7 linked regions of the Mus musculus genome follow. The protein of the gene in region 5 purifies or fractionates together with the protein of the main gene of each other region. This does not show direct contact. Links are inferred from orthologs where the notes say so. Each region holds a gene or a part of one and is shown on either strand. Other genes may lie near its edges. The genes, in order: Rnf170, Insig1, Amfr, Tmub1, Erlin2, Tmem259 and Rnf185.

Evidence for each region.
Region 1: the proteins of Erlin2 (region 5) and Rnf170 purify together in Homo sapiens (affinity purification with mass spectrometry; 4 studies listed by BioGRID and IntAct, counting the BioPlex papers as one, with this or other methods). This does not show direct contact. The link is inferred for Mus musculus from reciprocal best matches to the Homo sapiens genes ERLIN2 and RNF170.
Region 2: the proteins of Erlin2 (region 5) and Insig1 purify together in Homo sapiens (affinity purification with western blotting; 4 studies listed by BioGRID and IntAct, with this or other methods). This does not show direct contact. The link is inferred for Mus musculus from reciprocal best matches to the Homo sapiens genes ERLIN2 and INSIG1.
Region 3: the proteins of Erlin2 (region 5) and Amfr purify together in Homo sapiens (affinity purification with western blotting; 4 studies listed by BioGRID and IntAct, with this or other methods). This does not show direct contact. The link is inferred for Mus musculus from reciprocal best matches to the Homo sapiens genes ERLIN2 and AMFR.
Region 4: the proteins of Erlin2 (region 5) and Tmub1 purify together in Homo sapiens (affinity purification with mass spectrometry; 4 studies listed by BioGRID and IntAct, with this or other methods). This does not show direct contact. The link is inferred for Mus musculus from reciprocal best matches to the Homo sapiens genes ERLIN2 and TMUB1.
Region 6: the proteins of Erlin2 (region 5) and Tmem259 purify together in Homo sapiens (affinity purification with mass spectrometry; 3 studies listed by BioGRID and IntAct, with this or other methods). This does not show direct contact. The link is inferred for Mus musculus from reciprocal best matches to the Homo sapiens genes ERLIN2 and TMEM259.
Region 7: the proteins of Erlin2 (region 5) and Rnf185 purify together in Homo sapiens (affinity purification with mass spectrometry; 5 studies listed by BioGRID and IntAct, with this or other methods). This does not show direct contact. The link is inferred for Mus musculus from reciprocal best matches to the Homo sapiens genes ERLIN2 and RNF185.

The regions. Positions count from the first base shown.
Region 1 is NC_000074.6:26,125,868-26,129,367, forward strand, and holds part of Rnf170 (E3 ubiquitin-protein ligase RNF170), read left to right. Parts: intron 1-36; coding exon 37-112; intron 113-3,179; coding exon 3,180-3,288; intron 3,289-3,500. UniProt on the Homo sapiens protein: E3 ubiquitin-protein ligase that plays an essential role in stimulus-induced inositol 1,4,5-trisphosphate receptor type 1 (ITPR1) ubiquitination and degradation via the endoplasmic reticulum-associated degradation (ERAD) pathway.
Region 2 is NC_000071.6:28,069,936-28,074,211, reverse strand, and holds the start of Insig1 (insulin-induced gene 1 protein), read right to left. Parts: upstream 2,801-4,276; 5' UTR 2,775-2,800; coding exon 2,417-2,774; intron 666-2,416; coding exon 541-665; intron 1-540. UniProt on the Homo sapiens protein: Oxysterol-binding protein that mediates feedback control of cholesterol synthesis by controlling both endoplasmic reticulum to Golgi transport of SCAP and degradation of HMGCR.
Region 3 is NC_000074.6:93,974,641-93,978,140, reverse strand, and holds part of Amfr (E3 ubiquitin-protein ligase AMFR), read left to right. Parts: intron 1-1,972; coding exon 1,973-2,107; intron 2,108-3,321; coding exon 3,322-3,405; intron 3,406-3,500. UniProt on the Homo sapiens protein: E3 ubiquitin-protein ligase that mediates the polyubiquitination of lysine and cysteine residues on target proteins, such as CD3D, CYP3A4, CFTR, INSIG1, SOAT2/ACAT2 and APOB for proteasomal degradation.
Region 4 is NC_000071.6:24,445,047-24,449,228, forward strand, and holds Tmub1 (transmembrane and ubiquitin-like domain-containing protein 1 precursor), read right to left. Parts: upstream 2,801-4,182; 5' UTR 2,711-2,800; exon of another isoform or gene 2,701-2,710; intron 1,907-2,700; 5' UTR 1,874-1,906; coding exon 1,488-1,873; intron 1,228-1,487; coding exon 876-1,227; 3' UTR 417-875; downstream 1-416. Other genes in the region: Fastk (fas-activated serine/threonine kinase), read right to left, coding at 20-101. UniProt on the Homo sapiens protein: Involved in sterol-regulated ubiquitination and degradation of HMG-CoA reductase HMGCR. Involved in positive regulation of AMPA-selective glutamate receptor GRIA2 recycling to the cell surface.
Region 5 is NC_000074.6:27,033,819-27,036,877, reverse strand, and holds part of Erlin2 (erlin-2), read right to left. Parts: intron 865-3,059; coding exon 785-864; intron 446-784; coding exon 242-445; 3' UTR 1-241. UniProt on the Homo sapiens protein: Component of the ERLIN1/ERLIN2 complex which mediates the endoplasmic reticulum-associated degradation (ERAD) of inositol 1,4,5-trisphosphate receptors (IP3Rs) such as ITPR1.
Region 6 is NC_000076.6:79,981,461-79,985,684, reverse strand, and holds the start of Tmem259 (membralin), read left to right. Parts: upstream 1-1,424; 5' UTR 1,425-1,553; coding exon 1,554-1,775; intron 1,776-4,224. UniProt on the Homo sapiens protein: May have a role in the ERAD pathway required for clearance of misfolded proteins in the endoplasmic reticulum (ER). Promotes survival of motor neurons, probably by protecting against ER stress.
Region 7 is NC_000077.6:3,450,157-3,454,165, forward strand, and holds the start of Rnf185 (E3 ubiquitin-protein ligase RNF185), read right to left. Parts: upstream 2,801-4,009; 5' UTR 2,053-2,800; intron 1-2,052. UniProt on the Homo sapiens protein: E3 ubiquitin-protein ligase that regulates selective mitochondrial autophagy by mediating 'Lys-63'-linked polyubiquitination of BNIP1.

The sequences.
Region 1 (3,500 bases), about 910 kb from region 5:
ATGGGTTAATCTAACTTTATAAACTCTGTCCAACAGAAATGTACAGCAGAACATCCATCCAGAAAACCAGGAGCTAGTCAGAGTGCTTCGAGAACAATTCCAAACAGAACAGGTATGCTGATGTAGTATATATATTTATAGAAGGGGATGTTGTAGTTTCCTGTTATAGGAGTGGTGATAAGACATTAGAAAGTAGCTTTAAGAAGCATCAGCTGCTTTACTCCTTACATTATATTGTTCCTCAGACTACATATTTTCAGATTAAGCACATGTTCTTTTGACGGGACTGGGAGGACATCCAGGCAGTCTCGCGTATTCCAGGCTGGCCTGGCACTTGTTGGGGAGCTGAGAATGATCGTGATCTCCTGATCTTCCCGACTCTACCTCGGTCACAGTTACTTTTCTATTGCTGTAACTATAAGTCCAGGTACAGGCAACTTATAAAATAAAGCATTTAACTGGGGGCTTGCTTACTGTTTCAGAGAGTTGGTTCATTATCATCATGGTAGGGAGTGTGGCCGCAGACAGGCAGGCGTGGCTCTGGAGCCGAGTGAGAGACTGGGCTTCAGGTGGGCTTTTGAAACCTTGAAGCCCACCCTGAGTGACAACAAGGCCAAGTCCCCTAATCCTTCCCAAAACAGTTCCATCTGCCAGAGGCCTCGCGTTCAAATGTTATATGACCATTCTCATGGAGACCACTAGACCTCCCAAGTTCTGGAGCTACTGGCAAGAGCGATCAACCTAGTGGCATGTTGACTAGTCTTAATCTATACGGATGCATGCAGTGAGGATTTTGGTTTCTTTGAAAACCACAGAAACATATGGGAATATGTTTTCATTTTAACCTCAGGCGTGGATATGGTGTTACCTCACGTTCTCCACAGCAGCTGACTATGATTTGCATCATCCTTAAGCAGGGGCATGGTTTTGACAGCGTTTTGGAATTCTGGGGACTCTTCAGAGGGTGTCTTAAGTGCTAGAGCCCCATAGATGGCTGCTGGTTGGCTGGTTGGTGGCTGGATGCTGTTGGTTGCGGTTTATCAGGCAGTCGGGTGCAAACAGAAGAAAAGAAGGAACTAGATATCCTGACAGACAAGATCAAATTTGCTCCAAAGAACTTGACGCCCTAGTCAGTAGGAAGTAGTCTCATGATACCATCACCCTCTTTCTCCTCAGTCCTTTTCTCTCGCCTACCTAGTGTTAGGGGTTGGAAGGGTGGAAGAAGAGAGGTAGAGAAGGATGGAAGAAAGAAGAACCCAGAAGTCCAGTTACAGATACATGCATGCTTTTTATCGCCTTGTTCTAAAGGAGAACGATTTTTGTATTTGTTGTTTGTATAAAAAATGTAGTCAACTTTAACGGAAATGAAATAGATACTTCCTTTTTTATTTCTCTCTCTCTCTCTCTCTTTTTTTTTTTTTTTTTTGACACAGAATTACATGGTCCTGGCTGGTCTGGAACTTGCTGTGTAGACCAAATTGACCTCAAATTCATAGAGACATGCTTGCCTCTGCCTCCCTAATGCTGGGCTTATAGATATGAGCTATTCTGTTGGCTTTTGTTATATTCTTTGAAAAACATCAAGAAAGGTATAAGTTTTTATTTTAATATTAATTACTGGTTTTTTTTGTTTTTTTTTTTTTTTGAGGCAGGGTTTCTCTGTGTAGCCTTGGCTGTCCTGGACCTCACACTGTAGATCAGGCTGGTCTCCAACTCATGTAGATCTGCCTGCCTCTGCCTCCTAAGTGTGCAACACTGCCTGGTAGTATTTACATATTTTAATATTTTCATTTTGTAGTATTAACACTGGAATAACAATGCTACCTTCAATTATTTTAGTAATTAGTGCTATTTTAAGAAATTAAAATTCTAATTATAATATCTTAACATTTATCAAAAGTTCTTTAATTCATTTTATAATTAAGTTTGTATTTACTACTTTTGATTTTTGTGATAATTTTATTTTAAAAAGTTTAATACCTATTTATTGTATGTGTATGAATGTTTTGCCTAATGTATGTGCATCATGTATGTGCTTGGTGCCATAGAATTCAGAAGAGGATGTTAGAGCCCCTGCAGCTGGAGTTAGAGATGATTGTGAGCCATCATGTGTGTGCTGGGAACCAAACACATGAACGGCAAGAACGGGTCATGCCCTAAACTGCAGAGCCAGCTTTCCAGCCCTTGATGAAGGTGTACGTTTGCGTTAGTGCTGGATAGTTTTCTAGGTCCTTAGGTACTACAGTGAATCCTATAAGTGGAGTTTTTGCCTTCACGGCATTTTATTCCAGAATCATATTTGATGTGTGGTACTTGTACTACTATCTGATCACAACAGTGATACAATCAAAGAATATGCATATATTACATATTTGCGTGGTTTGGGGTTTTAAGACAAGGTCTCATGTAGCCCAACCCTGGGACTTGTTAGGCAGCCAAGGGTAATTTGGAACCCTTACCTTCCCGACCCTGCGTCCTCACTGTTGGGATTACAAACATGCAATGAGAAGCATGTTAACATTTACTAGGGTGGGTTTCCAAAGGACCACGTTCACATGACCAAAAGTGGTCATTTTTTCCCTACTTATAAAATGAGCAAATAATCTTAACTGGAAGATTAATTCTTGTGGAAGATAGAGCAGATATGCAAAACTTTACAGGGGACAGGTGTTCAATGAAAAGGATGACGCCAGACACGGTCCTGCAATGCTAGCATTTGAGAAGCTGGGGAGAATTGCTGCTGTAAGGTCCAGGTCTGACAGGGCTACAAAACAAGACTGTTTTAAAAACCAAAAAGGTTGTTTAAAATGTTAAAAAAATTGGTGAATATTAAGAATGATAGTTTGATATTTTTTCTGTTTTTATGGTATTGAGGATCAGACCCAGGGCCTCATGCATGTTAAGTGGGTGCTCTCCCTCTGAGTTACACTGAAGCAGGGTGTTTCGGATTCTCTAGTTTATATCGCAGCTTGTAGAATTCAAATAACATGCATTTTAATAAAGTAGAAAAGCTAGCTTTGAGTTAATCTACATTTTGTTTTCAAGTTGTGTGTAGGGAGGAAGGTGAAGGCCACTGAGTTCAAATAAAACAACTTTGCAAGCTTCTCAGACTTGCAAGACGTTAAACTATTGCGCATGTGTAATTTCTGTCTTGAGAGATGTCTGTGTCCTTTCCCCAGGATGTCCCTGCTCCTGCCCGACAGCAGTTCTACACTGAAATGTACTGTCCAATCTGCTTACATCAAGCCTCCTTTCCTGTTGAAACAAACTGTGGACATCTCTTTTGTGGTGAGCAAATTATGTCCGACTTGGTTAGAGTCACCAGCTTGAGACCTTTGTGGATTGGTAGTGGGCTAGATTGCTCATTTTCTTTTTATCACATTTATGTTCTGAGAAGAGTAGATTGCTTCACAAGTCCTGCTCTAGTTGCCACCCAAATAATAGCATATTGTTTAGTGTATTCCATACTAAGGTCTGAGGATATTGCTCAGTTGGTAGAG
Region 2 (4,276 bases), on a different chromosome or scaffold from region 5:
GTCTCTGTGTCCCCTAGGTAGTAGGTAAGTTGATTCAGTGCTTGTCAGTGAGCACTCTCAGAGCTGGCTGGCAGGAAAGGAAGGCCCCAAGTGCAGACACAACTTCACAAGATCTTTTACTCTAAGTTGCTCTAGAAACTTAGCATTTGAAGAGTTTACCATCAAATTGGTCATTTTCATAGAAAATGCATAAAACCACAGCAGCCTACACGAAGGGCAAAATGTCAGCTATGGAAAGTAGAAGCCCGCAGGGACCTCCTGACCAGCCTTGGGCTCCTGTGACAGAGAACAGGGACAGGGCTCTCACTACCACAGAGCACATCAGTGGGGTAGAAGGCAAGAGAGAGGACAAAAGTCCACTGAGCCACAGTAAACCTCTGCTTCTACTCTTAGTACAGAGGTCCTAGGAACGGAACCCCAAAATTCCTGCCACGTGAAAGCCAAGTCATACTCTGAAGCTCAGGAACGAGGGGACGAGCAGTGTCAATATACCCTGCCACAACCCAGATGACCCTCTGCACAGACACCAACTGAGGATACGGCACTGGCGTGGTTGATGCCAACGAACACGGCAATACAGCGCATAACGCTGGCCCATTCTCTCTTGAACTTGTGTGGTTCTCCCAGGTGACTGTCAATACAGGGATACAGTAAACCGACAACAGCTGTTTAAAGAAAAACAAAACAGGATTAGGATACACTGGTGAAAATCAGTCCTTGTGTGGTCATTATTAGTAGGATCCAAACCACTTATTTTCCTCGGCAGTTTGTCACCTGTAGCACAAAGTATTACCTTACATACACCTGTAAGAAAAGGCTGTGGGAAGGCCACCCCACACTGCTCTCTTTTTCTCAGCCTTGACCTGGCCCCAGTGAAGACAAGTCTCACACTGTGAGGAGGGTAGGGTCTCAAGAAGGGAGAGAGGCTGGACAGGTCTCCTCGAGTTTGTTTTCGCATGTGTGAAATGAGGATTATGTAAGTAAAGTGGAGGGCAAAGAAGGTTCTGTGGTTCTCAGAGTTAGGAACTGTCACAAACACAGATTGGACTCCAAAACATTTGGACAGCAGAAGTTGGGCACTCCAGAAGACACAAAGAGAGTAAAACCCAGGAAGGGAGGGACTGTCTGCAGTACAAGTGGGAGCAGTCTCATGGACACAGGGCACAAGACCTCAGTCAGGCTGCCGTCCCACCTTGTCCAGTGTGAACACAGGCACTCAGCCTCAGTGGTGAAAGCAGTACCAGTCCAGCCTCATATTCAGATGAGAAACTGGTTTACTGGGTTCCCTTAAACTTTCATCACAAACATGATGCTTCATGTTGAAGATAAACTTTCAAATTCAAAGAGCCTTAGGTTTCATATGTAAGGAAAAGAGAATTCAAATCTCCATCTTATTCCCCAAGGAACTTTTAAATGCTGGGGATAGTAGTTTGGTGGCAGATGATTTGCCTAGCATGAATGAGGCCACCCCCAGTCCAAAACAACCAAGAAGCACACAACTGTCATGTGGCTGACCCTCATAATGCTGCAGGTGAGCCTGAGAGCAAGCAGCCTTGGAAATCAACAGTTAAGTGTCCTGCATCCTACATTTAACCCATGACTCAGCTACAGCACAGCACCCAAGCCCAGCATATAAAGCATAGGCAGGCAGTCAATAAAAGCTGGCTTCAAAGCAGACAGGCACTGCTCCTGCTGTCCTGTGGCTGCAGATTGGAGGAAAGATGCACCTGAGCAAATACTGCCCACCTACACAGGACAGGACAAGGACAAGCAGGGCTGAGGGGGGAGAAACACTTGACAAATGGTTATCAACGCTGTACACTGTAAACTATGCAGGATCTGTTGGACTGTAATTACTCAACACTTTTGGCAAAAAGCAGCAAAATGATCAAGGAAAGAAAAAAGACTGTGGCACTGTTACAAGTTTCGTTGGGCCTAAGAGGTGACACCATAGGTGTGCTTAGGCCCAAAGGCTCCTTTTTTCCTCCTGTCCCAAGTCTACTGGGCACGGAGTTCCAGAAGGTTTGGCTGATAGCCACAATCTGCAGAAGGCAGAGAAGTCTGTCCCCTGGCAACTGCCTCTTGAGCGCACGTGATGGTTTGTTTTCAGTTATCCAGCGAGGTAGCACGTTTGCTCAGGCAGCCAATAGCTGCGTGGTGCTGCCCTCACCAGTTCTCCAGGCGGCCAATCCTGGCTTCTGGCTCAACGAGACAGCTGCGACTCCTCCACTTAAACTGCCAATTATCTCCTGACCTCATCTCCATCACTAGTCCCTCCAACTTCCGCCTGTCGCTCGCCAACGTCTGGGGTTTCCTACCCTCTCCGTTCTCCTTTTCTTGTAACAAGGGTGACTTTAACAGCTGACGTGTCCCTTCATCCCCCTCCCCCACCCCAAGAACAAGGAAAGGCACTCACCCGCTGCCGTGCCACAGCACGGGGGCACCCACCAGGCGGAGGAGAAGATGGTGGCTATCACCTCGTCGGGGAAGAGCGTGACATTCCGCTGGATCTGCAGCAGGTTGAGCACCAGGGCCAGGACCACGCCAAATGAGAAGAGCACTAGGCTCCGCTGCACCAAGTCGTGGTGCCAGCTGCCCGGCCGCGCGCTGCATCCTGTGGTTCCCGCTCGCTGGCCCCGGGGCGCGTGCTCGGGTTCGGGGACTCCGGGGCCCTGCGGACAAGCGGCCGCCGCAATCATGCCTCGCGGGAGGCTGTACGGCCTCGCAGCGCCCGCGCTTGGATAGTTCCAGACGTGGTCGTGCAGCCTGGGCATCGGCGTCCAGGCACAGCATGGAAGGTACACGCCACGACACTACACGTACCGCGCCCGGACGGCCCAGGAGCGGCCGCGGCCCCGCGCGGTTTCCGCTTATAAGGCAGGCTGCCACCGGAGCCACGTGACCTCACCCAGCCTATCCGCCGCCCGCGCGCCCTGCTGGGGGGCGTGTCTTCAAGCGGCCCCGCCCTGTCCGCGCGCCTGTCCGCTCGGGGTCTGGTGAGGCCGCCGGAGCCAATGGGAGGAGGGCGGCCCATATGACGTATGCACACGCCACCGGGGGGGTGGGGCTGGTGCCCGGCACGCGCTCGAGCGCGCGCTATTCGGGCAGGCGCCGGGGCGGGCACCGGAGCGGGCGGCCAGCGAGTCAGATGGTCCGATGCTGCCCTATTGCGCTGCCGGACCTCGGTTTCTGAGATAATGAGGTCCACGCAGGTCCGAAGGAAAGGACCCGGAGCGCAAACCCTCCTGAGTGCTTAAAAGACCTGGGATCGCTTGGGCTGGCTGCTAATGGCAAGTGCTCTGCAGGTTCACAGCTCAGACCAGGGCTCCCCTAGCCAAGACGCCACCGGCTAAAACCACAGGGTGGTGAGCAGGCCTGAAAAGGCACTGTGTGTGTGTGAGACCTTAGGTAAGGAATGTGGCTTTGTGCCAAAAGTGTAAAACAAAGTCACCCTCCTAAGCAGGCTGTTTCTCAGAGATCATGGGGGCTGTCATTTTCCCAGCGTGACACGGGTGTGGAGACCTGGCTGTCTTTCCCTCACAGCCTGTCCACTCCTCTCTTAGGCGGCTCTATGCGTTGTTTGGAAGAGCTTGAAGCAGTTTTGACTTCAAGGAATGTTGCAACTTGGGTCTTCGCCATTTTCCACACTCTGGCCAGTCCATGCATGTGAGGTTTCATGGGCATACACACACGGGGGTTGGGGACATCAGTACTGTATGGTGTATTACAGCAACATGGGAGCCTTTTTGACAGCAAGAAAGCAGGAGGGCCTGCCCAGCTTCAGCTGATAGGAAATTGTTAAAGGCAGTGAGTCTCTGCTGTGGGATGTAGCAGGTGCTGCCTCTACCACCCATCATCAGCTGCAAGTACTCTAAACAGATGTTGAGAAAGCGACACCTGTGTAAATACACACAATTTTGCCCCCAAGGAACAGACACATCGCTCATAGGAAACTTGGCCCTAAGGAACAGACATGCCAGTCACTTGCAGGAAGCTGGCTTGATGGGACAGTCCCAGACCCTGCACCCACGCCCCAGCACCAAGCATCTGTCTTGTGAGCACTGAGATGTAATTCAGTCCCTTTTTCTCAAGCCATTTTGCTTGTCTTTACAGACTCTCCCCCGGATTTTTTTCCTCTTGTTATAATTCTTACCAAGTAGGCTAAGAGGTTCTAATAATACTTTGTGTGCTTTTGTGATGCTTGCCTGGGGGCAGGGGTTGATATCTTCAGACAATTGCTCTGTTACCAACTTGGTTGTTTCTTCTGCTTACCCAA
Region 3 (3,500 bases), about 67 Mb from region 5:
TAGTATTTAACTGACTGGATTTTCTGGTAGAAAGATTTATGATAGAAAGTTCAATAAAATGGATCCAGCTTTGTTTCCCTTTTTCTTTTCCTCAATTGGTGGAGAGCTAGGTGAGGAGGGGAGAATGCTTGTAGAGACTCTTCCCACTTTGCTTTGATTTGATTGGGATAAAATGTTCCTTCCAGTCCACATGCTGTGAGGGGGTCTCCAGTGATGCGGAGCCTTGGGCCCTCTGGGCACTGAACATCTTGCCATTGTCTCTCCCAAGTGACTCAGCAAAGCTCTGGACAGTTTTCACCTGAGCTGCTCTTTCAGTTGCAGTGCTGAGACACAAGCCATCACGTGCAGTTTGTGATGCTGTGCTCCTTTGAAACTGACATCCAGGCTGGGCAGTGGTGGCACACACCTTTAGTCCCAGCACTTGGGAGGCAGAGGCAGGCGGATTTCTGAGTTCCAGGCCAGCCTGGTCTACAGAGTGAGTTCCAGGACAGCCAGGGATATACAGAGAAACCCTGTCTCGAAAAACCAAAAAAAAAAAAAAAAAAAGAAAAGAAAAAAGCAAAACAAACAAAAAAAGAAAAAAGGAAACTGACATTCAGTCGTACTCCAAGGCAGTGGTCTTTCCTGCTTCTTCCTCTCTCTTTTCTCTCTTGCTCTGTAAATTATGGAGATTTTTCTACAATACAAACCTAGAATGCAAGCATTTATAAAATATATTTATATGTATAAAACACATGCATGTGTTCACACACACAAGTTTTGAGGTGCTTGAATGGAAGTATGGATGAATTTGAAGTATGGATGGAAATTTATGTATTTGTCCTGTACACACATGGCTAAACCTCTAAGTGTGTGCAGTGATGGATCTAGAGCATTGTTTGAAAATTGTAGTTCTGAGGCAGTACTAGATATTTTCATAATCCTAGTATGTACCCAGGTTGGTATTGAACTTATAGATCCTCCTGCCTCTGCCTCTGGGTGCTAGAGTGAGAGTGGCATGTCACCATGCCTGGCTAAAAATTGACTTTTATAAATTAAAAAGATGGGCTGGAGAGATGGCTCAGTGTTAAGACCACTGACTGCTCTTCCAAAGGTCCCGAGTTCAATTCCCAGCAACCACAAGGTGGCTCACAACCATCTATAATAGGATCTGATGCCCTCTTCTGGTCTGTCTGAAAATAGCTACAGTGTACTCATACACAAAATAAATAAATCTTAAAAAAAAAAGTTTATAAATTAAAAAATATATTTTACGTTTTGCATATAGAAACTTACATTCTTTAATTCTATTTTTTAAAGTTGCGCTTATTATTTGTATGCAGTAAAAATGTGCTTTGGTTAATCTCAAGTTTAGCTCACACAGCTGTGTAGACTTAATCTAACAAGAGTCAGAGTGGCTCTGCTGCTCCTCTCTGTGGGTCCAAGGTTCTTTTGAGGTCAGTTTCTCCCCAGCCAGGGCCTCCTGCCTGCTAGACAAGCTCCTGAGCAGAACGCCCAGCCCCACATTGCTCTGCTTTCCCTCTCCCTGTGCCTGTTTCCAGATGTCATCTAATGGAGTCCCAGTCTGGCTCTCCCTTGGCATAGTGGATATGAATACTACACATGCTGTGTCTGAACATCGAACTTTAGAAGGATCCTGTTAGCTTAGGATACACGTAGGTAGATACTGGCACACATAAAGTCATCAAATAGATCTTTAAAGCCAGAAGATACTCTGACTTGACCCTTTCTTGAGATACTACTAGATTTCTGTCTGCTCTTTACTTTGAAATTGCTGGTATCCCAGAAGTCTAGTACCCTACAACAATAAAAAGAAAGCAGTGTGCAGGTGATCTGCTGAGCCAAAATGGCCTTTACCTGTGCTTTCAAGATAATGATGTCAGCCTCTGTGTCCAGGGCCTGCCAAGTGTGCGTACTGACCCTCAAATCTGCTGAGAGTGACCTTTGCTGTGTGTCCTTCATGTTTCTCTAGGCTCATCAGATTCAGGAGATGTTCCCTCAGGTCCCGTACCACCTTGTGCTCCAGGACCTCCAGATGACACGCTCCGTGGAGATAACAACAGATAACATCTTAGAAGGACGGATTCAAGTACCTTTCCCCACGCAGGTAAAACTGGAGCTTTATGCCTAACAAATGTATTTTATTTTTACAAAGAATTAGTCCTAACACCTAAATATTATTTATAATTTGAGGAAGGGTTTATATGAATTTCATTTCATTCAAATCTTTCATGAGAACAGATTAACCAAAGGTAAATACAGATAATCCAAGTACATTTTATGCAGAAACATACCCCAAATCAGCTTTCCCTCACTGCAGGTCTGTACCGGGACGCCATTGGCTCCTGTCAGAGGCTGGCATCTATTTTTGTGAAGAGCAAAGAGTGACTATTTAGGCTCTGCTTGGTCCACAGTCTGCTGCAAATAAAGTGGCCATTGGCAGTGAGGATGTGGATGAGCAAGACTGTGGTCCAGTAAAACATTCTTTGTAGAAGTAGAGAGGGGCGAACATGGGGCTATGGTTTATGGAGCACTGGCACTCCAAGAGAAGGCTGGTTGTACATCATGTGGTGTGTTAGTGACAGTTCACATCTCTCAGGGAGCTGAGGCTTGGACTTTGGACTTCATTAAAAAGGTCAGAGTTTGTGCCTCATCACTCGGCCTCTGAGAGAGGCACAGAAAAAGCAAGAGAGGAGCCTTCAGTAATACTGAGGAATGTAATATAAGGCCAGACAGTCATCTACCAAAAGTTCCTGTGTACAGCCTATAAGTGAACAGAAATATATCAATACAATTCAAAAAGATGAAGCTCTTTTGACGAGTGTAGCCTTTGGAGACAGCTGGGCTAAGGTGCTAGCTATATGGTCCCTTGGGTCTCAGCTCTCTGACCTGATTGTTAGCTGCCTTTGGAGCTGGCAGAGTTGCCTCATATGGCTGGATAGGGCTGTCAGTGAAACACATAAACCAGACAGCAGACATGAAGGTACTCAGACCTTAAGCGATAAAGCCTGTGGGGAGGACCCAGAACATCTCTAGTCTGGAGACTTAATTGCAATGCCTGCTTCAGAGCACTTTAGGAAGGTTATGAAAACCGGGAACAGTGTTTACTCCGCGCAGTTGACCTTTGCCCTTGCTTTTGTTGTGCAATCACTATTATTGAACAGGAAGCTGAATATGGAGCAGTTACTAACTACTCTCAAACATGGAACTCCATGAGGGCCTCCACATCCTTCGTCTCACCTTTCAGGCTGTGAGCTGTGTCGAAAACTGTCACCTGCCCCTTTGTCACCCCACCCTGAATGACTGCATGCTTTCTTTCAGCGGTCGGATAGCCTGAGGCCTGCACTGAACAGCCCAGTGGAGAGGCCCAGCCCTGACCTGGAGGAGGGAGAAGCTTCTGTCCAGGTGAGGTCAGCTTACCAGGAGCTGTGCTGCAGGAGTGCAGCGTGGTCCTGCGTTACTTACGGCCACCTTGCCCTTGGCAGCAACAGCTTAAGGGA
Region 4 (4,182 bases), on a different chromosome or scaffold from region 5:
CCCTCAGGCGCCACCCTACATGACTCCCCGGGCCCCGCGTAGGTCACTCTCTCAGCTGGTCTTGGGGCCCGGGAGCCGGGCTCCCCCCGCGGCCTCCTCATCAGCGGGCCACCGAGTCCGCCATCTTCCCAGCAGCCCCCGGATCGCCCCCAGACGCCAATCGCAGTCCAGCGCCAGGGCGGCGGAGACGTGGCTCCCAGCAGGCGCTGCGAGCAGAGGAGCCGCGAGCCCCGCCCTCCGCTTCCGGGAAATGCGCACGTCGCGGGGGCGGGGCCACAGAGCTTGCGCTGAAAGGTGCCGGGAGTGGCGGTCCTCTGTCCAGCCCTGGGGTAGCTTGAGCACTCAGGACCTAGGGCAGGTTCCATTCTCGTAGAACAAGGGCTCCCCACCCTCAAGCAACACACAGACACACTGGGTAGGAAAACGTCACAGTTTCTTTAATCTGCACAAATTCCAGAAAACAACTCTGCCCCTCTCGATTCCCCTTCACCAGTCTCCCAGTCCACCAGTTTCCAATTCAGCCTAGGCAGCTCTTTGAAACTAGAAGTATCTAGATCCTCTGTCAGCACACTAAGATGGGCCCATTGGGGTGCCCTGGCGGCCAAGGCAGCGACAGCAAGTGCCTGATCCAGAAGAGCCCACTGCCAGCGAAGGCTGAGGTCCAGCAGCCCCAGGAGATGGCCTAGAGCTATGAAGATCACACGGAGCGGCCTCCGCTAACACCCGAAGTCCTCTGCGGCGCAAAGCTGGGCTCCAGGGTAGTGGGAAAAGACAGGCAGCGGGTGAAGTGGGCCTGGGCAGACAGCAGCTCCCTTTGCGCCTTGGGGAATGAGGTCCAGAGGGGCTGGCTACACTGCCAAAAGCCCGTGGAGGCACTACGGCCGATACATGGCAAAGGCCAGGAGACTGAGGAGCAGGGTGAAGCCGGCCAGACCCAGGGTAGCGGTCAGGGGAAAGAAGGGCCGGTACTGGATCTGGCAGTACCAGAGCAGGAGCAGCAGCAGAAGCAGCAGGGGCAACAGAAGGCTGCCGATTTCCAGCCCGGAGGGGCCGGGCTCTGACCCCGGTGGGCAGGGAGGATGTGGGGGACCGACTCTCGTGGACACGTGGCAGTGGAGAACGCAGTTGGGGGGCAGGTGGAGACTGCCTAGTGTCTGAGTGTCGTCTCCTAGCAGTTGACCTTGGTAGATGAGCCGAACCTGCTGTTCCTGGCCTGGAAACTGGGTCCTGAGGAGAGAGGGACCTGGGTAAGAGAGCAGGCCTCAGGCAGTCCTGGCCCATTGTTCAGAGGACCAATCCCAATTTTCACCACCCCTACACCTGACCACCCAGATCCTGGCCTCTGGGGGACAGATTAACAGGAATGGTGTATAATGTGAGGAGACAGATTTTTCAAACAGAAAATAAGGGAGAGCTTCATAGGGTGACCCTTCTATAGACACCCACCCCATTTTTAGCATTTTGTTCTTACCCTCTTCCCAGCTTACCTTTTTAAGGAGCCAATGGTGTCCTGAGGCCAGGCCCTGGCTACCTGCTCAGAGTCATTGAGAAATTTCAACCGTAGAAGTAGGGGTTCCTGCGGAGAGTCTGGAGGTGTTGATGCTGTGACCCCTGTGTCAGGCTCTGGCTGTGCAGATGGACCTCTGTGTCTCAGGCTGGGACTCTCAGCCCCTGGGGCCTCCTCTCTGATGCTGTCAGAGGCTGACATGGCTTCACTGGGCTGTGCTGGTGTTGTGGTCCCCGGCGGCTGTGGTTGGGGGTCTGTACTCTCAGTGGTATGTGTTGAGACCCAGGCGAGGGCCAGCACCAGAAGGCAAGCAAGCACCGCAAAAAGGACAGTCACCTCATCGCCTACGCCTTCAATCAAGGCCATGGCACCCGTGCTGCTGCCAGAGGTGCTAAGGAGCTAGAGAGGTGCAAAGAACTGGTGAGGGGCTACTTCCTGGTCAGAAGTCATTCCAACTTCAACTGTCCTAGTTATTGTGTGTGCTTGCGCACCCAGGATGCAGCATCCTGTAGTCCCAAACTTGGCTTTTGGGTAACGTCCCTTCCCATCACCAGATTCCAAGTGCTAGCTTTGCTATCTGAGTTCTAGATCTTCATTCAGCACCCGATTCACCGAAACCTTACGTTCAAGAAAGGGCCTTGCTTTTCTAAGCAACCCTCTCCTTAAATGTAACCTTCATCAAACTTTACCCAGAAGCTTACCTATTCTTTGGTTCACTTCATCCCAAAGTTCACTCCTTCACCTATTTATAGCAAAGCTCATCTGATGCCCTGTCGCTTAAGTTTCTCTGATAAAAGTGTCTCTCTAGCCCCCTGCCCTCCCCCTTACCATTTACCCAAACCCCACCCACAACAAAGACCACTTCCCAAAGCTTCCTAGACAACCCCAAATGTCAAACTCCACCCTTGGCCAATCTGGAGTCTTGGGAGTTGTCTACTCAGCTCGGCACCTTCTCGGGTCCACCCAAAGCCCACCCCGCAGCAGTCTCCCAGCGCCTCCTGGGCTCCAAACCCAGAGGTCTCCAGACCCTTGATCCCTCGGGGAGAACCTAGACCTAGCCCTCCCCACGACTACTCCATCACTCCTCCCATCTGCCCGCCCCCCAGAGCTACTGGAGGGCACCAGCTATCTCGGGGCGGGGCAAGCAGGTCCCAGCTGTGGCCTGGGGCGACCCGGTGGGCGCGGCCACGCACAGCGACTCACCGCCCAGCTCCACCAGCTCCATCTCGGCTCCTCGGGCACTTCCGGGCCGAAGGCACCGAGGTCGCAGACACCTGAGGTCCCTCTCCTTCCCTGCTGCCGCGGCCCGGGAGCATTGTGGGGATTGTAGTTCGCCCTGTTTAGTTCCCGCCCTCCTCCCTGTGAACCCACGTGCCGGGCTGGACCAGATGTTGCCGGTACCCTTGGATCGTCGATGGGCCCACGGGAAGGACCCTGGGGTTTCTGCTTGTCCACAGAGATTTGGTCAGCAGCAAGAAACTCTATCTCCGCTGCCAGCTGCTGGAGCATCTGTCACTCCTGACACCAACGTCATCCTGCAGCATGTCAGAGCACCCGCGTTGGTGATGCAGTGATGAAGGCTCTGGGAAGCGCAGGTGGCCACTACCCAGCCAAGCCTGTGTCATTGTGGACGCCAAAAAGCAGCTTGGTTTTCTAAATTGACTCTGTTGCTGAGAAGGTGTAGGTTGTCTGCCCCACTTGCTAGGGAGAGTGCCTGACGCCAGCTGTCTCCTGGCCTCTGCTGCACTGTGTCCCTATGAGATTGTAAAGATGGCATAGACTTTGGAACTGAGTGTACATCCTGCGGTCTCATGTAGACACTCATCAGCTATATAATCTCTGGTGGGTTATTTAATCTCTGAACAAGTATAATTCTTCTAGGTCAGTTGGAAAGAAGAAACTCGTTTTATTAAATAAGTATGACAGCTCTGTAAAATTTATGTATTTTTTTGTATTTTGCTCGCCTAGTATTAATGCATTGGCTTCACCAAAACGTAAACTGAGAAACTGGCTAAGTATGGTGACATAGCCCTGTAATCCCAGCACTGGGAGTTTGAGGTAGGACAATTAGGAGGTTGAGAACTTTGGTCACCTAGAAAGACCCTGTTTTATTCTCCCACCCCTAAAAAAGTATTTCCACATAAAGGATATAACGATGGATCTGTGACAGCCAATCTCTGTAGATTTTTTCTTATTCCTTTGACTCCAATATCTGCAGAAATCTTGAATCCCAGATTTTACAGACCAGTTTTGACTTGGGAGTTTGCACATGCATGTGTGTCTGTGTGACTTGTCTCTGTTCTCTTATGCTAAGGGTACAGGCAGAGGCTCCCAAGCCTGGTTTCTGACATGAATACTGAGGAGTCAAATGGAGGCCCGTATGCTTGCAGAACAAGTCCCTAATTAGTTTTTTAAAAACAAGGGTTTGTATATCATATTTGTATGGGTGTTTGCCTGAGTATATTTAAGTACACCACACTCAAGCCTTGCGTCTCTGGAGGTCAGAGGAAGTACTAGAGTAATAGGCAGTTTTTTGGAGCCATGTAGGTGTTAGGAACCGAATTAGGGTCCTCTGCAAGAGCAGCAACAGGTGCAGCAAATGTTCTTAACTCCTGAGCCATGTCTCTAGCCCCATCCAGTCCAGTCTTAATTAAAGATAACCTACTCTGCTCTTC
Region 5 (3,059 bases):
ATACACCTTCTCAGAAGTCATACAACTTACTTACCTGAATTAAAAATAAACCCAAAAAACAACTCTCCATCTGCTCTCCCTTCCCAGAAGGGGGTAAGTTTGTGTCCATTTCTTCCTTTTTAACCACAGTAAGAAGAGTCAAGGAAGGTAGTGTGGAAAGGAGGAGCGCTTTGCTCTGTCTCATCTTAAAGAATACAGCTCTCTCTAAGCTGCCCGAGCAGAGCTTGCAGACAGTGTTTCCTCAGTTCTCCTTTGTGGGTGCCTCGAGGGGCTCATCTTCTAGGCCAAAGCCCAGCTTGTCGTCGCTCAGCCCCTCAAACTGCTTGCCCAGCCCCCCTGCGGAATCCATAAACATGTTGGGGATGTCTTTGCCGAAGTAAATCTTGCTGTTGGAAGCAATGGCCTTGTACTTCATCAGCTGCAGGTATTCTGGAGTCAGCTTGAGCTGTGATGGAAGTGAAGAGAGCTTAGGGAGGGGACACCAGAGAGGAACTTCATCTGGGGAGGGCATCTGTCAAGCAGACATGTGTTTGCATGTCTCATGGCCTCCCTGTTACCCAGAAACCATTTTTTTCTGAGAGAAAATAATCTAAGGTCTATGACAGAGTAGCAACAGTTTCCAGAGTTTTCCTGTTCAATACAAAATGAAGCTTCTATTAAGGCTTCCCACACAAGAGAAGCGCTGTCTAACCCAGCAGAGGGTCCTCAGTTCTGTTGTGAGGGCTCTGGGTAGCGAGCGGCAGAGGCAACACCTCCTCAGGACGGTGGGTCAGGCGCCCTTTACCTTATTTGCTTCTGCGATCTTCAGCGCTGTGTAGCACTCAGCGTCGGCCTTCGCCTTCTCCCGGGCCAGGAACGCAGCATCTAAGGGGTGAAGGGTGCAGGGAACTGGATCAAGTACAAAACCATGGGAGGTACAGTCTGGGGGCTGGCAATTATAGCTCAGTGGTATAGACAGCACTTGTCCAGCACACATAAAGTCCAGGTTCCATTCCTGGCACTGCAGAAAACAAAAACCCAACAAAGACACTTTCTGGTCTCCATGGCCTTGGAGAGATTGTTTTGTGTGTGTGTGTGTGTTTTGTGTTTGAAATGGTCTCACCTTATAGCTAGGCTAGCATTGGACTATGCAGACTTCCTGTTAGTACAGAGAAACCAATTCTCTAAAAGAAAGTAACGTGAGATCTTCCCGACAGTGCAGCAAGAGCTTTGGTTTACTGCAGGACACCTCCATCTGGCTTCATCATACATGATGTACACTATGCATATCATATGGTGTCACCCTGACCCTGCCTTTCCAGTGCTGGGATTACAAACATGCACTGCCTTGCCTGTTCAATACCACAGATGACCCTTTCCAACTTCATCTCCCCAAAGTTTCTAACAGTGATGAGGTTGGCTAACTCTAGATTCGTGCATGCTGGTCCAGAGGAGCGCTGTCTGGTTCAGACCTGCTTCAGCACTTCATGTAGCAGTAACCCTCCGGCTCAGTGATGATGCCCAGCTCAGCTTTGAGCCCTGTGGCCCGGGGATGCGCCAGCTGCACTCCAATCACATTCACAAGGAAATATTCAGGGGCAATAATTAATTGGGGATGCTGGTTTATGGTTGTTTTTGTTTACTTTCCACCATTTTAAAAAAATTAAAACCTTTTCATTATTACAGTGTTTATTTACTGAGAGGGGTGGAGCACGGACAGCATGGCACATGTGTGGAGGTGAGAGGACAACTTAGGGAACTCAGGTCTCTCCTCTGCCATGATCTAACTCGGGCTGTCAGGCTTGGCAGTGAGTGCTTCCGTTGCTGAGCCATCTCAGCTGGCCCGCTACTGGTGTTTTTGAGACGCTTTTCTATGTCACCCAGTAATCCCAGTGGATTACTCTCTTTCCACCCTTAGGCTTGTTGGTATAAATTCGGGGCCTCGGGTTTGACAGCAAGCACTTCCACCCACTGGATGACTTCATCTGCCCTTCATTTCTCTTTTCACTCTCAAGAAAATGCCCTGTGCACGATCTACACAAGCAACACAATGATCCATCTTATAAAAGTTTATTTTTGAGTATGTGTATCTGTGTGTGATTATGTGCTTATAAGTGCAGATGTCTACAGAACCAAGAGGGTCAAATCCTTCTGGAGTGGGATTTATAGGTGGTTGTGACCTGCACAATGTGTGTACTGGATACTAAACTCAGGTTCTCTGGATGAGCAATTAATCTCTCTTAGCAGCTGTGCCTCTCTCAGCCCCATGACAACCATTTATAGGAAATGAAAACACTGCTTTACCAAGAGCTCCCTGGTGAGAGCCCACGATCTGTGACATCCTAATCAGCTGCTTGGTAGGTCCCTGCAAAACCTGCAGGCTCCACAGTGAGTGTATAATTACACGGAACACTGTGGCCTGAAGCTTCCTTGAGGATCCCTTTGTCCTGGAAATCATGTAGAACACTACATGAAGCAAGGTGAGGGCAGTGGGGAAGTGAGGGCCCAGGAGGGGACTGCAGTGAGCGATGGCTGGAAGCGAGTGACCAACACTTCTCAGCTCCAGAGCTGCACATGCTGAAAAGGGTCGTCACCAAGGCTAACCTAATGTCTGTGTGGGCCTGGAGAGCAAATAAGATGAAAGTATGCAACCAACTGCCTCCTGTCCCCTAACAGGGTCTTGCTATGGATGACAGTGTGTATCAACATGCCTGGCTCTAGAGAGAGCAAAGGCAGGAAGAGCTGCTGCTTGGGTCCAATGTCAGAGTGATCAGACACACTTGTCAGCCTGAGCTCAGCTCAACGGGGGCTGTGAGATCTTTTTCCTTCTCTTCCTCTTCCTTTCTTGTCTCTTTTCTTTTCTGAGCCAGGGTCCTGCTCTGCAGCCCAGAATGTCCTATGACCCACCACCCTGTTCTGCCTTTACCCTAGGTGCTGAGACTCTAGGACTATGCTACCACGCCTGGACTGACACCCTTGCTTCCAGCACTGTTTAGTTAGTTACTTACAAACATTTATTTATGTGTATGTATGGGTGCATGTGCAAGCATGCCCTGGGGAGTGCTCAGGGCTCAGATGAC
Region 6 (4,224 bases), on a different chromosome or scaffold from region 5:
TTGTACGGGAATGTGGCAGCTATAGTAGAAAAGGAGACTTCAAAGGGTCAATTGCGTTATTTTGAGATGAAACAAAATATGGAACGCTTCACGAATTTGCGTGTCATCCTTGCGCAGGGGCCATGCTAATCTTCTCTGTATCGTTCCAATTTTAGTATATGTGCTGCCGAAGCGAGCACAAGCGACGGTTTTTTGCCTCAGGTATTTAAAGGCAGAGAAGCAAATTACTTTTCACATACAGTAATTATGATTTTTTTTTGTTTTTGTTTGGATAAAGTAACGTTTTCACATGTCAAAAAGAAAGGCTACCACTCATAACACCGCTCAGAATAATTATCTATCCGCGTGAAAGCTCACATTTAACTAATTAATATAGCTGTCTGGGAGAAGCTTGTGCCAGCGAAGCCTTCTGGGAAGTCATATGCAAATTAGACAGGCACTACGAGGCTCCGCCCCTCAGTGGTAGCCGGATCAGCGCGGAATCCGTGATACTGGTGCGATGGTGAAACTGTCTGCTAGTAAACTATCCATGGAATTTCGCCCTTCAGCGCTGCGGCCGCCAATGAAAACATTATGCTAATGAGCAGTTAGGAAGCCCTGCCTCCCAGGGCAGGGTGGGTAATGAGTCCTCAGCAGACCCCGCCCCTAAGTGAGGCTGTGGCCAGAGTGAAGCCCTATGTAAATAGGCCTTACTAAGTGCGTCTCCGCCCCCTCTAATTCTCCGCCAATAGGAAACCATATACAAATACGACGGGCAACGTCGCCCCGCCCGCAGGTGGATGCAAATGTTTTAGCTTGTTTCTGAGACCACGCCCCACAGATCGCCCACCGCTAACCTGGATCCCTCCACAAACCAAACGAATTACACCCGACACTGCCGCTCAATGCTTAAGATAGAGCTCTGGGCTAAAGACATGGCTAAGAGCACTGACGCCTCTTCCAGAGATCTTGAGTTGAAGTTCCAGCCTCCGTTATGGTGGCTCACAACTCCTTTCTGGTGTATCTGATGCCCTCTTCTGGTGAGACTGAAGACAGCGACAGTGTACTCACATATATAAAGATAAAGCTCAATGCAAATGAATCGTGACACACGACTCCACCCCAGGCCGTGCCACAGTATGTGGGAGTGAATATATGCAAACAAACGGGGCTGCTCTTTAATGCACTCCGTGTAGCCCCTGCAAATTGCAAGCTCACTGCAAACGAGACCGGACAAAGCTTGAAGGAGCACTAGGAAAATAAACTGAACTCCATGGTACTCTGCCCTTTAGCGCTGAGGCGACCCGCATGAAATGTGTAAAGTCAGGCTCCGCCCACTACTCGTGGTGCCCGCCTTTCGGCCCTGAAGCCCGGCCTCCTCGGGCGGCCGCGGCGATCCCAGCGTGCCCCGCGCACGGGCGGCGCTCTGGCCCGGCGCTCTCGCCGGCGTCGCGGGCCGGACGGACGCGAGCAAAGGGGCAGGCGGCGGCGGCGGCCGGGGGCGGCGGGGGGGATCCGGCGGCCGGGACGCGGCGGGGGTCAGCCGGCGGCCGCCGGGGTGACGCGGGGCGGTGATGTCGGAGCACGCGGCAGCCCCAGGGCCCGGGCCCAACGGCGGCGGGGGTGGTGGCGCGGCGCCCGTGCGCGGCCCTCGCGGCCCCAATCTCAACCCCAACCCGCTCATCAACGTGCGCGACCGGCTCTTCCACGCTCTCTTCTTCAAGATGGCCGTCACCTACTCACGCCTCTTCCCACCTGCTTTCCGCCGCCTCTTTGAATTCTTCGTTCTGCTCAAGGTGACCTCTGACCCCTGACCTCTGACCCCTGACCCCAGCTGTCATCCGCTCGCCCACCCCCGGCAACTTTACCACTTGGCTCCTGACGCCTGGATACCCTGATACCACTCTTACAGATGCTATCTCTGGTCCTCACTTCCTCAGCTCTCAGGCCCCGCCTCCTGCCCTTTGGCCTCAGTCTGCCACTTGGGAGCCTAGGCCCCAAATTTTTCCACTCAAGACCAGAGCCCAGTGTCCTCTTGGAGTAGGATTTTGGACTCGAGGTCCACCTTCCCACCTGTCACTCCCATCCTGTCCTGCACCTCCACTGAGAACAATATGGTCATTTCCATTCCATTCCTGACTTTCCACTGTAGACCACCTCCTGTGCTGGAGGCCCTGTCCCGCCTGTCATTTCTATTCTACCCTGATTCTCTCAGTCCAGTCTCTACTAGTCAGTCCCATTCCAGCACACCCTGAACCAACCCCCTGGGGACAGCCCCCTACCCCCCAGTGTCACTGCTCAAATTTTCTGTTACTTCACTGTTTTCAGACTCTTGCCAGGTTTTCTGTGGCTTTGGGTGAGGTCATCTCACTAGGGTCAGCCACAGAGTCACAGCCAGATTGGCCAGGGACCTCTACAGCCAGCACCTGCCCTGGCTGTGTCTTCTTCATGTGCTCCCGGGAGATCCCGGTTCTCGGTCACAAAGGCTACTCGAGGGATGGCACCAGGCTCTCTCTGAGGAGCTGCCTGGGCCTTCTGGTGTTGGGGTCATGGCTTGGTGGCTGGCATGCTGATATTGGAGGGCATTGGTGAGTTTGGGACTCACTCCTGGTGCTTCTCAGAACTGAGCGTTCGGGGGTTTCATAGGTAGATCTAGCTTGAGCTCAAGACAGCTGTGGGCATCCCCTCAGGCCCCAGTTCATTGGCTGCAGATGAGCCCATGCTCCATCTTCCTTCCTGCCCTCCACACCCTCAGGGCTCCGGGTGGGTGCCCAATGTCTAGTCAGAGACAGGGTCGGCTGGATGACAGTAGACCTTATCCTCTTTCTTAACTGGGATAAACAAGCCACACAGCAGCTGGTTTCTGGAGCTGCTGACGTTTCTGGGAGCCCATTTGCTGTGTTTCCTGCCCGTCCTGCCTGCCCAGCTTCCACCCAACCTTCCTAGAAGGGACGCCTCACAGCCAAGGCCTGCTAGGCTTGTACCACCCTGCGCCCTGTTCCCACCCCAGCCTAGGTGTCAGCTCCTACAGAGGCCCAGAGAAGAACTGTTGGGCTTGGTATCTCCTCTGCTGGCTTCAGAGCCTCAAGGACCGAAACTGGGCAGCCATGGGATAGGGGGGCACAGCATGGTGCCTTAGACCTTAGGATGTGGCAGGGGTCAGAGGGCAAGGAGGTATGTGGCACCAGCTCAAGTCCCTGCACCAAGTGGATTTGAGCCCTGAAAGGTGCTAAGTGGCACCCTTGGGTGGGTCATGATCTCGTGGAGATCCTGGCTGAGGCTGGTATTTGGTTTTGTCTTTATAGTGTAGAATAGAGTTTATTCATGGCTCAGGGAAGGGAGTTAAGAGTGTAATAGAGAGCCAGGCGGTGGTGGCGCACGCCTTTAATCCCAGCACTCGGGAGGCAGAGGCAGGCGGATTTCTGAGTTCGAGGACAGCCTGGTCTACAAAGTGAGTTCCAGGACAGCCAGGGCTACACAGAGAAACCCTGTCTCAAAAAAAAAAAAAAAAAAAAAAAAAAAAAGAGTGTAGTAGAGATAGAGAGTAGAGAAGTCGAGGCCGGCCACAGCCGTGAGCATGGGGAGAGAGGGGGAAAGGAAGAGCCCAAGAGGACAAGAGAGAAGCAAGCATATGAGTGAGGCTGGTATTCTGACCCCAGTGCAGGCTTCCCATTGGTCAGATGAACTGACAGCCCAGACACAAGACTGGGGTGACAATGCAATACTCCATCCCACCCCCGCTTACAGGGTAGGAGGTTTCCCAAGAACCCTAGGTCTTGGCATTGAGGTGTCTGTAGGAGGTGATGGTGTGCAGCCCCACCAGGCCGGTATAACCAAGTTCAGTGCCTGTGTATGTGGCATCAAGTGGGCACATGAGGGAGGAGTGCCCAAGGGCCTGAGTGGGGTGACTGGCACGAGTCAGTGACCAGTGAGGACTCGTGGGCTGGCCACAGTGGCCATGGTGGGAAGAGAGGACCCAGGCTATAACCCCTGTCCAGTGGCTATCTTATGTTGACTCTAGATGCCCAGTAGGTGGAACAGGACCTGGGATACAGTTCCTGGCTCTTGGATTGGACTGGGAGGAGTGACTGCTGCGGTCTCAGCCTGGGCTGCTTGGCCTTCAGTTCACCTGATACAGAAATGATTTCTTGCCCAGGGTGAACCTCACAGTTGACAGGGTGGGTGCAGCTTCAGGTGTGGCTCGCTGGAGACTGTAGCCTTGGTCTCAGTCCCTGGGCCTTCCAC
Region 7 (4,009 bases), on a different chromosome or scaffold from region 5:
TTTTGTTTTGTGGAGGAAGTGTCAGCAGAATTGGGTCATAATATGGAATCTTTGCTTCTCCAGACAACATAAGCATTCTTAAGTACTCTAATGGGAGATGGAAAAGTTATCTACTTAGTGTCTGGTAAAGTGCAAAATAAGGAAATCTAAAGTTAGATTACAAAGCTATAGGTATGCAAGTCAGGACCATAAAAGAATTGGTCATATGTGCTGGGCATCCAGAAAGCTAGCTTAAAAACTGCAGACACTCTCACACCTATACACACACTGCTAGACAAAGAATTAAAGTTCAGTTTATAAACCAGAGAGAAGACTGACCCAAACAACTGAATTGGCCTTCCATTCTGTAATCAGAGCCCACTGGCAAGCAAAGCCTTGGGCAAAACAAGCAATCCCAGCATTTGGGAGGCTAAGGCAGGGGGACCAGTTTGAAGTCACCCTGGGCTACATAATAATACTCTGGAAAAGGAAGAGAGGGATGGAGGCAGAGAGGAAGAGAGCAGAGATAGACAGAGAAAAAGACAGAGAGACACAGATAAGACAGACAGAGACTGACTTTCTAAATTGTTCTCAGCCTGAGCTGAATGTCAGAGTGAGACCCCGACTTAAAATAAATTTTAAAAACTTAAATGTAAAACAAAAATTACTAACTGACCAATGTATTAATTTTAGTTAATTAATTTTTATTTCCTGTTTATTAATACAACATATACTTTGGATAATTTTTATCAGATAATGGATCATTCCAAAAAGGATGATGAAAAGAAGGATGACAAATGTGACAACCAGTAAAAGATTACATAAGATCAAGTGTGCTGGCCTTATTGATAGGAGATATAAACTAGGGAGGAGAGTCCAGAAGGGAAGACAAAGAAATGTCACATTCTGTAGGCATAATGGTACTAAGTAACGAGTGATCCTGGCACTCTTTAAGACTGAAACAGCAGGATCCGGGTTCAAGGCCAACTACAAAAGGAGCTTGAGGACAGCCTGAGATCCCTGAGACCCTGTCTCAGACCACAAAAGAAGTATCACATACACTCTGAAGACAGAGTTATCAGTGGAGAGGTAAGAGTCACAATAAATACTAATACGAGCCTTTTAAATTGGAAAGGGCCGCCTCCTGTATACTTCCTTTCCCAAGGAGACAGTCAATCCCCATCAGTCGTCACCTCTGATAATTCTTCCGTTAAATTCTTAATAGTAAGTACACATGTGTCTTCCCCCTAGAACCTACCTATTAATCGTAGCTGTACCTCTTTCAGCTACAAAGATCAAGCAGGAGGCCTCTTTGCCATAACTCCCCCACCCAACCCCCACCCCCACCCCGCGCCAGCTTTTAAAGATAGTTAGTTATTCTCCTCCGGCGTTCTTTCCTAAGCTAGAAGTTTCATAGAATCGAGCCGGCTCCAGCTGCCTCGAATCGAGTACCGCATTCACAGCGGGACCGCACTTCGGATGAGCAGGCTTCAAACACGAGTAGGACTCCAGAGGAGAACGTTCAAAATAAGGTTTCCTAGGATCCAGACCCAGATTCGAAACAAGCTGTGGGAAAAGCCCAGGGCTGGAGAGCCGGCATCCCGGAGGGTTTCGGAGCAGGTGCTGTGGAGGCCCACGCTTTTGAGACAGCTGTGCCCGGTTGTACAGCTGTGGGAACTAGGTTCAGGGAGGTCAAAGACTTGGCCTCGAACGCACAGTGAGCTGCAGGCAGCGAACTCAAGTCCAGGTCTCCTACGCTTCACCCCAAATCTGTTCACCGCATTCCTCATCTTTCCACTCCACCAAATCGCCACCCACGAGAGAGGCGGTCCCGCCCCCGAGGCTACGGGAGTCAGGACGAGCCCCGTCTGGAAGGGGAGCTTGTGCGCACCCTTCTTTCCCTTTTCTGGGGCCTTAGTTTGCCCAATCTGTACCCACGGATGCCAGTCTGACCTTCCTTCTGGGACCTGGACAGAGCCAGACTGGATGACTCCTGGCCCTTGGCTTCAGATCCCTGAGCCTGGGAAGGGGGTCCCATGCCTCCCGGGCCCGCCGTCCCAGCTCGTCACCTACCTGCCGCCGCGGTAGAGCGAGCGCCAGCGACGCCAGCTGTCCGTTCCCCCGTCCCGGAGTAGCCGAGCCAGTCTTAGAGACGCGTCAGTCAGAAAGATTGAACCTCCGACCCCTCCTACCGGGAACTTGGTCACCTGACGCGGAGCCGCCTCTAGTAGAACAACTTCCGGTTCCAGCCGGAAAAGGCTGGTGTGCAGCGCTGCTCTCCGGCCCAGGCGCCCGGCTGGTAAGTTCCGCCCCGGGACAGGAAGGGGAGGGCGTCTGGTCTTTCCGTAGGGTTTCCTAGCGCTGGAAGAGGAGGGAAGGCAGCTCGGTGGATGGGCGAGCTCGCCTCGCCCGCGTGAAGACGTGGGAATAAATATGTGCGTACCCGCCAGCTAATCATAGCATTCATTCGGGTGATGGGTCAGAACTTCAATGTCGTTTTCGAAGCAGGCTTGGGATACATGGGACCGTGTCGCAAAAATAATGGGCGGATGAAAAAGCCAGTTCTAGAAATACCAGTTTGGAATGCCTTGTACAAGAAAGTAAGGTCAGTGGTTGTTCTGTTTTATAAAGAAGAAGAACAGGAGGAGGAGGCATGGGAAGTGGAGTAGGAAAGGGAGTAGAGAATGAGGAGAAGGGAGAGAGGCCGGCCAGGAACGCGTGAAGAGAGAGGGCGGAGGGGGAAGGGGGCAAAGAGTAAGGGAGAGGAGGGGGCGAACAGCCCCTTTTATAGTAAGCCGGGCATACCTCGCTGTTGCCAGGTAACTGTGGGGCGGAGCCTAGAAGGAATGCTAACAGTGGTGATGGATGAGAATGTGCAAAACGACCCAGGAGCTCTCTTGAAGACTCTACTAGCCAAATCTGTGAAATTTCAGTATCAAAATAATAAAGGTAATAAGAGTATAACTAATTGGAGCCCATGAGATGGTTCAGAGGTAAAGATGTTTGCTGCCAAGCCTGTCAACTCTAGTTCAGTCCCCAGAAACCCAGCGGTGGAAGGAAAGGAGTCTGGCAAGTTGTCATCAGACCTTCACATGTATACAGAGACACTTAATAAATACATGGTAATTTATTTTAAAACTAATTAGATGAACTTGTAACCAATGAGGGATTGTTTTTTTTTTACAGTAGCAAGTGCATTTATTATATTTAAAAATAACTAGAAAAATTGGTGTTTTAGCTTTCCATATATAAAAACATGTGAGTCCAGTGCAACAGTGCTCAGTGCAGGTGAGTGATTTTGCTGTGCAGCTCCTACAAAGCTGCATAGCTGTGCTGTTGCAGGGGTGGGGGGAGTGGGGGGTGGAGAGCCGGCACACCTCATTCTGTAGAACAAGAAGGGACTTCCGTCCTGCCTCGGACAAGCAGTAGCAGTAGCATTCCTGTGTGTAAGCTGAGGTAGGGCTGGCACACCGGCCTTGTATCCTGTACTGGATGGCTTTCAGCTTCTGCTTGCCAGTGTGAAAGCCCAAACGCCAGATGGCAGGTGAGCCTGCATCCTCTCCCCAGAGTCCTTGACCTTATCAATCTCTAGCTCCACCTGTGGGGGACCTGAGGGATCGGTCAGAATACTCCTCCTCCTTCTGTTCCTGGAAAAAGTAAGATTCTTTGGGGGGTTCTTAGTATCATTAATACAAGAATTTAGAAGAGACTCAAAGGAAGCTCAGGACAACTTTATTAGAGTTTGAAAAAAGCAATCAAGGCTAGTTGAAAACTCTAACAGCTGCCAGAAGATGGAGAAAAGGTCACACCTTTTAAACTAGGCATGGAATAAAATTAGACAACTTATCAAGAAATGGAAAAGGACAGGTGGTATTGGCGGTGCACACCTTTGATCCCAGCACTTGGGAGGCAGAGGCAGGCAGATCTTTGTGAGTTCCAGGACAGCCTGATCTTCAAAGCAAGTTCAGGACAGCCAGGGCTACACAGAGAAACCCAGCTCAAAAAAACAAAAACAAAAAACAGAGAGTAG